Linked DNA regions of Canis lupus familiaris. The protein of the gene in region 1 interacts with the protein of each later gene in a pairwise test. Links are inferred from orthologs where the notes say so. Each region holds a gene or a part of one and is shown in the gene's direction. Other genes may lie near its edges. The genes, in order: DCTN2 and GADD45A.

Evidence for each region.
Region 2: the proteins of DCTN2 (region 1) and GADD45A interact in binary tests that used the Homo sapiens proteins (3 or more experiments, as listed by UniProt). The link is inferred for Canis lupus familiaris from reciprocal best matches to the Homo sapiens genes DCTN2 and GADD45A.

What each region holds. Positions count from the first base shown.
Region 1 is NC_049231.1:1,985,260-1,989,813, reverse strand, and holds the start of DCTN2 (dynactin subunit 2), read left to right. Parts: upstream 1-1,510; 5' UTR 1,511-1,679; coding exon 1,680-1,715; intron 1,716-2,601; coding exon 2,602-2,670; intron 2,671-4,554. UniProt on the Homo sapiens protein: Part of the dynactin complex that activates the molecular motor dynein for ultra-processive transport along microtubules. In the dynactin soulder domain, binds the ACTR1A filament and acts as a molecular ruler to determine the length.
Region 2 is NC_049227.1:77,929,114-77,933,524, reverse strand, and holds the start of GADD45A (growth arrest and DNA damage-inducible protein GADD45 alpha), read left to right. Parts: upstream 1-1,537; 5' UTR 1,538-1,687; coding exon 1,688-1,731; intron 1,732-1,950; coding exon 1,951-2,052; intron 2,053-2,586; coding exon 2,587-2,821; intron 2,822-4,277; coding exon 4,278-4,391; 3' UTR 4,392-4,411. UniProt on the Homo sapiens protein: In T-cells, functions as a regulator of p38 MAPKs by inhibiting p88 phosphorylation and activity.

The sequences.
Region 1 (4,554 bases):
CCAAGGGAAGGAGTGTGGTGATGGGAGAAGGGAGGAGGGGATGGAGGTTCTCCCTAGCAACTGTCTAAGGTCACTTGGACACTGTGAGGCAAGAGTGAGAGGATGGTGACCTGGTCAGACAAGAGCTAACCGCTCAGAACTCAGCTGAGGGCTTCCCCACATCAGGCCTATACCTCTCACCCACCTTGAGTCTTATGGAAATTGAAGGAAATGGGTCCAGCGCAAGAAACTGGATGACAAGCCAGGAGGACTACGTAGAAACAGAGGTAGAGGTCTGGGGAGCAGCCAGGAGAGTATGCATAGAATGACAATGAGTTCCAAACTCAGGAACACAAGCATCTCTCCAGTCACTTGGTCTGGCACTATTTCTAAGTGTTGCAGCATCCTGCAAGCTCAGGAAACATTCTGGAAAACATCCCAAACTCAGGCCCCCAGGGACTCTAGGGTGGTAGCCTTAATGGACTTTCAAAAAACAAAACAAAACAAAACAAAAAATGCTTATCTAGAAAAAAAGGGGGGAAAAAAAACTTGTCTAGGGAGGGTCGGGGACAAAAACTTTACTGGGTACGCCCCCCCCCAAGAAAACCCACCCACACACAATGCAGTAGGTTTTTCACAAACTAGACTTACAAAGTGTCAAAGGACTTTCTTGAGAGTATGTTCTTCCTACTTTTCTAGTAAGAAATGATGGTTAAACAATAGCCTTTCTTTTTCTAATGCAGTTAGTTGGCAAAATTAAAAGGTAGCAATGCTATGTCCATCCTCAAAAAGGTTTGCTGTTGTTTTAATTTTATCGAACTGTGAAATTCAGAAGTTTGAAAACTATTAGTGAAGTGCATAAGAGCACAGGGGGTGTTCAGACAGACATACAGCCACCACTTGACTATTTTCTGAGCTTGAAATAAGACTGCCAGGTTTGAAAAACTAAAACAGAATGCCCCGTTAAATTTGAATTTCAGATGAAAAAAAACTAATAGTGTATGTGTGTTAGTTTGTCCCAAATATGGTATGAGGCATACTTACACTAAAGAAAACTAGTAGTTGTTTATTTGAAATTCAAATTTAATTAGGTGCCCTGTATTTTATCTGATAGCTCCAACTCGAGAAGATTACTTATCCTTTAAATTCCTAACATGACTAAGCTTTTACTAAATTTTACTTGCTATTACTGTTTTTGAAGCCCTGTCTGTGCCACGGCATAACAGGATGCGTTATTTTTATCGAGTCATTTAATCTTTGGAAACCCAAATGTATTCAACTGAAAAACAGGAATTATAAAATGTGTTTCAGAGACTTGATGTAAAAAGAAAAGAAAAGAAGTTGTGTGAAATAACTCCCCAAGGTGCGTTATTGCCGTTCTCCGTCCAAGCGGGGAATGGGCCAAGACTACAAATCCCACAATCCTAGGCGGCGTCCCCCGCCATTACCTCACTCCCTGGCCGCGTTCTCGCCAATCCCGGCCTCTCTAGGGGTGTGGTAGCGGGCTGTTCTCGCGACTTTTGCCTTCCCCGTCTCTCTCCTGTGCGACTCCTGTCGCGAGACTTCCTGCTCCTCCGCCTCCTCCGCCGCTCCCTTTGCCGCCGCCTTAGCCCGGGACTCGGACCCAGCCTCTCCCCTACCCGAACACCGGCCCCGGCTCCACCGAGGCCCCGGTCCCCCAACCCCGCCTCGCCGCCGCCATGGCGGACCCCAAATACGCCGACCTTCCCGGCATTGTGAGTACAGGGCCAGCCCCGGCTCCCCAGGGCCGCACCCCGACCTCCGAGGACCCCCGTCAGGCGCTGCCCCGTGACCCCCCGGCCTGCAGCCCGGCCTGGCCCCGGGCCGCCGCCGGCTCCCCGACGGCCCCCAGCACCGTCCGGACTCTTCCCTCCCGACCTGGCCGGTCGCGGAGTGGCTTACCAGGCCCCTTTCCCGGCCCTCGCCGATTTCTCCGCCCAGAAACCGTCTCGGGGCGCTTACCACTTGCGCCCGAGTGTTACTGCCGTGCGTGTCAGCACCGCCCGTGTCTCCCCAGATCTCCCCCACCCCCACCCGAACACACGTACCAGGCCACTTGGTGTGGCCTCCACGCTGCCGAAGAGGAGGTGACCGCGGCAGCAGCCTTCTTGTGCCCGATAGAGAACTCTGCCCCCATCACCCCCCGCCCCGCCCGCACCTGCCGGCCTGTTACCCTCCTTTTGGGCTGCCCTGCCTGCATTCTCAAGGGTGGGGGTTGGGCCACAGGACCTTGAGGGCTAAGGTCCTGAGTCACTCTCCACCTGTGTGCCAGGGTAGTGGGATACGGGCCTAAGGCAAAGACAGCCCTCTTCTACCTCGGACGTAATAGTTGCCAAGGGTCCGCCCCCAGTCAGATTCAGGGTAACATCTTTGTCATCACTGACACTCACCACTTATCATGAGGTCCCAGTTGTGCCTCCTGTCATCCCCAGCCTTTAAGACATGGGAACTGGCATAGGGTTCACTGGGCAGGGGGAAGACAAGGGACCGAATCCTGGCCGCACAGCCTGCCTTCTCTGTTAGCCTGCTCAGATGGAGTGGGTCAGGGGTATTGGTGGATGCGGGGTAGTGAGGTAGGGTGGTCACTGCTTCTGTCTGCAGGCCAGGAACGAGCCAGATGTTTATGAAACCAGCGACCTACCTGAAGATGATCAAGCAGAGTTTGATGCGGTAAGGCTATGTGCTGCTTCAGGACTCTTACGGACCCTGACCTCTGTCCCCCAGGCAGACCCTTTTCCCTTTCCTGGCGAGCCACAGCAATAAGCGGGTATGCCAACCCAGCCTGGGATGTATGTAGATTGCAGGCTTACAGCCACCAGTGAACAATGCCAGGAAGGAGGGAATTACAATTAACAAGACCTGATTCTTGGGTCTTTTTAAATAAAGTCGAAATATCTCAAAACAGTTTAGTTGGGGCTAGTGATTTAGGCAGGCCCCCGGGTCCTAGGCTACGGTAATGAATCGTGAAGCCTGAACACTTGGAAACTACTTGAGGTTAGGAACTAGACCTTTGATTTCATAAACTGTTTCACTCGAGACATGTTCATTAGTATCCTACCAGGAGCTAGATTTTGAAGTAAAGAGGAATGCTTTTTTACATGAATAGCCAATATCTGTCAAGCCAAGAGTGAGAAAGTGATGTGGAGATTTTAGAAAGATGAGGGATCTAGTCAGAGTAAAACAAATGTGAGGGAAAACATAAATATTTCCTAGGAGCAAAGGAGATTCCTTAGCACTTTCAGATACAAGAAGAACTCTAAGGAAGAAATTCACTGGGAACTCATTTTAAACCATGAGGGGAGCCGCTTTAGCACTGTTTATTGAATATGTTCGTTCTGTGTTGGTTTTTGTGCAATGCAGAGGAGGAAATGTCCCTGCCTTCCAGGATGCCCCAGGCTCATGGGGGAGTTAGGATACATGCAGGATATGTGGAATAAACAAAATGGAGTGAATGGAAATCAGTATAGTAAACATTTGTTTATAAGTGCCAAGGGGAACAAAGTTCCATTAGCATTTTTTTTTACAAGATGTGTTTTAGGCTTCTATTCCAAAGAGAGCTGGGCTAAGGTCACATTGATGAAGCAGGCTCCGTCTGTGTGTCTGTAAGTCCTGTGGCTATGTCTGTGGGGCTGGTTAGTCCTGAAGAATGCTGGCTGCTGGCTCATAATGTATGGCTTGGCGTACTCACTTATTCCTTATTTGATTTTCCCCATGTGGAAGTGCTTCCTACTTTGTGGGAACACCTTCCCTGTCTCCTCAGTGATGTGTTCCTTGTGGCTTCTGTACTTGCTGGCATGTCAATCTGTCCCCCAAGCTTGAGTATCTGGAGATAATGCAGATGTTGTCATTGCTCAAGGACCTGGGTGTACACCTATCACTCCAAGATGTATGTTACTAGGAAGCTGCCTTAACTTCACAGAACAAGAGTATATAAGCTCAGTCCTCTGACCCATTTCAGAGACTGTTCAACTCTGGCCTAGGCTTCTGCCTATAAAGTATCAAGCCTTCATGGTGAGATAATAAATGTAAGTTTTTCCATTTGTCACTGGCTGTGATACAAACGGGCAGCATGACAACAATCCCCATTCCAAAACAAAAAATACATTGTAGTTTTCCTTTTGAAAATATAGGGATATTTTTTAATAAGAAGATGACAGGCATGGAAGCACCTGAATGTGCAACCCTGATTGGCTGTTTCTCCCCACTGAGCCTGAGCAGCCTATTTCAGTAGTATCTAGTGGGGTAACTGATAGGCAGGGGTACCGGAAGTGTTCATTTCATATGCAGCATATTACCCAGGATGACGGCATAGGAGTGCATAGGAGCTGGGCGGTAAATACAAGAAGGGTCGAGTTGCCTCCATCACCTAAGGCTCAGCTAAATGACTCTTTTTCTCTAGGCAGGAGTGAGTAAGGTGAGGGGACCTTCAGCGTCTTCAGGAAGGGGTGGGGTGCTGAGATGTTTACTGATGTCAGCTAATGTCTCTGGCCTCTGGATGTCCCTGTGGGCCTTAAAAGGGCAGCCTTCGGGAAGTCAGCTGAGTAATGGTTCTGT
Region 2 (4,411 bases), on another chromosome or scaffold:
TGCAAAATGTCAGCTCAAATAAATGAGCCAGAAAACCAACATATCACTTTTCTTTTCCACTAAATTAAGATCAAGAGAGCTGGAGAATATTTTGTCTAGAATGATACAAACATGCAGGTGCAAAAACTCCTATGCACCTTTGCAAAAAATTACTTCTCTGACCTCTGGCTATCCAGAGACCTTAATAATGCAAAGCACTGTTTCGAATGAGAGCATATGGGAGGCATTTTCACCACTTTTGGTGACTTCAATAGGTTTAAGACTTGTTTCTGCATTTATCGCATACACTCATAAAACAAAGGCGAGAACTTTCAACCTATGAAGTCAAAGTCTATCCACTGAAGTCTGCTTTTCAGAAGTGTGTTAACTTCTGCTTGCTTTCCACCCACAGGTTGCCATTATCTCAAAGGTGAAATTTTAGCGTATGACTAAAAGGTCCTATAGCTGCAGCTTCATGATTCAGCATCTAACATCAATAACTCACAGTGAGATCACAGGCTCTCTGTGGAAGGTAGTGACATACTTGCCTTATGAAAGGAAGCTCAGGGCATATTGAGAGTATTTTGAATTTAGACTTGTGTGGGCGTCAGACGTGTGTGTCTCTTAGCTGGGGCAGGTGCAGAAGGGTCCTCCTTTGGGAAAAGCTCTCGGGAAAGGTGAATTTGGGTCGTAAGTCTAGCAATTGCACATGCGGCCCCCCTCCTGACCACGGTTTCCAGAGTCACCCTGGGCAGGTGGGAAGCCTCTCTGCTTTCCGTGGAAAAGATTCCAGCTTGGTTCCGTGCCATTACCAAACACAAATGTGTTGATTTTTCTTTTTTGAGCTTCCAACCCTTGCAACCTTCCAAAAATAAATCAAACCAGCCATCAGGGCACCGAAATAATACTACTACTAATAAGCAGCTTTGCCTAGACTTACATAAACAACACTTCTGAAGTCAACTTTGCCCCAGAGGTCTGAAACACTCTTTTTATGTAACCTGCTTACTAATAATTACTAGACTTGGGTGCATTAGCCCTGGAAATAGACTTTAATAGCAACTGCTAAAAACAAAAGACATGAAACGACAATAAAATAAAAATGTGCACCAACCAGAAAAACAGTTGGCAGCCTGCTCGGGGCTCAAGTGGAAGGCACCCCTCTGCCCCGCCGCTGCAGAGACCCCCCACCCTCCTCGGAGCCTCCCACCGGATCAGAGTCGGCTCCGGACCCGCCCCGCCCTCCCCCTCCCCGCCCCGCCCTCCCCCTCCCCGCCCCGCCCTCCCCCTCCCCGCCCCGCCCCCTAGGCCGCTCGCCCCGCCCCCTAGGCCGCCCGCCCCGCCCCCTAGGCCGCCCGCCTTCCGCGTGGCTCCGCCCCCTTCCGCTCCTCTCCCCGCGGGTCCTGGAGCCGGGGTCACATGGTCGGAGCAGGCTGATTTGCATAACCCAATGGCTGTGCGCATGCAAATGAGGCGGGTGGTGATTGGCTGCGGTCGGCCCCATAAGGGCGGCGAGGGGGCCTTTGTCCCAGTGGCTGCGGCGGCGGCGGCGGCGGCGGCGGCGGCGGGCGCAGGGGCGGGGCGGAGCGGGGCCGCGGACGGGCGGACGGACGGGCCGACGGACGCGGTGCAGACGCCAGGCGCCGCGCGCCCGCAGAGGCCCGAGCAGCCCGCACGCCGCGCCCTGGGGCGGACCCGCGGCTGCAATATGACTTTGGAGGAATTCTCGGCCGCGGAGCAGAAGAGCGAAAGGTAGGGCGGCGGCCTCCCGAGCGCCCCCCGCCCGCCCCGGGCACCGCCCCCGAGGCGCCGGCGGACTGACGGACGGACGGACGGACTGACGGACGGGCGGGCGGGCGGACGCGCCCCTCCCCGCGGGCCCTGGCGGCGGCCTCGGGGAGGGCGATGGGGTCGGAGGGCGGCTGGCGGGCCGGGCCTGGGCTGACGCGCCCCGCGCTGGCTCCCGGGCAGGATGGACAAGGTGGGGGACGCCCTGGAGGAGGTGCTCAGCAAAGCCCTGAGTCAGCGCACCATCACCGTCGGCGTGTACGAGGCGGCCAAGCTGCTCAACGTGTGAGTGGGGCCCCGCCCCCCAGGCGACCCCGCGGAGCCCCCCACATGCCCCCGGGGAGCCCCCCCACCTGCCCCCGGGGAGTGAGTCTTACACCTGCCCCCCGGAGACCCCCCCCAGGCGACCCCGCGGAGCCCCCCACATGCCCCCTGGAGAGCCCCTCCAGGCGACCCCGGGGAGCCCCCCACCTGCCCCCGGGGAGTGAGTCTTACACCTGCCCCGGAGACCCCCCCCCCCCAGGCGACCCCGCGGAGCCCCCCACATGCCCCCGGGGAGTGAGTCTTACACCTGCCCCGGAGACCCCCCCCGAGGCGACCCCGCGGAGCCCCCCCACCTGCCCCCTGGAGAGCCCCTCCAGGCGACCCCGGGGGAGCCCTTCACCTGCCCCCGGGGAGCCCCCCCCACCTGCCCGCGGGGAGTGAGTCCTCCACCTGCCCCCGCGGAGCCCCCCACCTGGCCCGGGGGCGGGGGGCGGCGGGCGGGCGCGACCCTGGGACCCCGGGGCCTGCGCGCTCAGCCGCCCCCGCCGCCCGCAGCGACCCGGACAACGTGGTGCTGTGCCTGCTGGCGGCCGACGAGGACGACGACAGGGACGTGGCGCTGCAGATCCACTTCACCCTGATCCAGGCCTTCTGCTGCGAGAACGACATCGACATCCTGCGCGTCAGCAACCCGGGCCGCCTGGCCGAGCTGCTGCTCCTCGAGCCCCACGCCGGCCCCGCGAGCGAGGGCGCCGAGCAGCCCCCGGACCTGCACTGCGTCCTGGTGACGGTGAGGGGGGGCATGGGGGTGCGCGGGGTTGCACGGGGTCGGGGGGGTGCACGGGGGAAGGGCCGGACCGTCCTGGTGACGGTGAGGCGGGGGGGGGGGGGCGCGGGGGTGCACGGGGCTGCGGGTGGTGCGCGGTGGTGCACGGGGAAGGGCCGGACCGTCCTGCTGACGGTGAGGCGGGGGGGGGCGCGGGGGTGCACGGGGCTGGGGGTGGTGCACGGGGAAAGGCCTGACCGTCCTGGTGACGGTGAGGCGGGGGGGGGGGGTGCGCGGGGTTGCACGGGGGAAGGGCCGGACCGTCCTGGTGACGGTGAGGCGGGGGGGGGGGGGAGCACGGGGGTGCACGGGGCTGGGGGTGGTGCACGGGGTCGGGGGGTGATGCATGGGGGGTGGTGCACAGGGGTGCGGAGGTGGTGCACGGGGGAAGGGCCGGACCGTCCTGGTGACGGCGGTGGGGGGGGGCGCAGGGGTGCACCGGGTCCTGGTGCCGGTGAGCCCCGGGGTCGGTGGCGGGGCCGAGCTCCCGACCGCAGCCGACAGGTGTGGCCCCATCCCGGCGGGCGGGCGGGCCGGGACGTGTCCGAGCACGCGGGAGCCGCGGGGGAAGGAGCCTCGTGAGTCAGCAGGGCGGCCCCTCCCCACCTCCGCGGCGCTGCCTCCCGTGACCGACTCCCTTAGCAGGCAGATTAGGTTCAGCCAAATAAATTCCTGGCTCCCCCTCATTAAGGAGTCGGCTTCGTCCTCCAGCGCTCCAAGCTAAAAATAGAAGTGGTGTAGGAGACCGACCTTATTAATTCCCTAGAAATACACGAAGAGGACGGAATGGGGATTGTTTTTTATTTGCAATCTTGGATTTTTTTTTAATGGACCCCCCCCCCCCCCATGACTACCTTTGGTGGGAAGATGACTTGTGTTTCCAGAGATAAATAGGACAGTTTTGTCTTTTACATTCTGCTACTTATGGGCTGGTCTAGGTAAGTGGCGGCTTAATCATTTTGCGTGTCCTGAAAACTACCACCCTGTCTTTGGGGAGGATGACAGGTGGCAGTTCCAGCGAACTGTTAGGGGCTCGCCTCTCCCTGGGCTCGGGGCATGGAGATCTTTGTCCGAGCTGTTTCTCGCTCAGGTGGCTTCCAGGGGACAAGCCTCTGAATGCTACTCTGCTACTTTCCTGCAAAAACGCAGTAAACATCCTGCAGTCCCATGTACGCGGTGCGGAGGGCTGCATGCATGCAGGCTTGCAGGGTGTGCTTTAGAGCATTACGTAGTGGTTTCCCCAGAAATCAGCTACCAAGAAAAAAGTTGATCTTTTTATGGTTGTAACTGGTCTCTTGTCACACAGCCAAAGTACAGAATGCTCAAGTTGTCTTTCCCTCGAAATGAGTGTAATTATTAGCAAATGTTGCCTTTTTTTTCTTTTTTAATAGTAAATGTATTTTTCTCAATTTGTTTCCAGAATCCCCATTCCTCACAGTGGAAGGATCCTGCCTTAAGTCAACTTATTTGTTTTTGCCGGGAAAGTCGCTACATGGATCAGTGGGTTCCAGTGATTAACCTCCCTGAGCGGTGATGGCATCTGAATGAAAATAA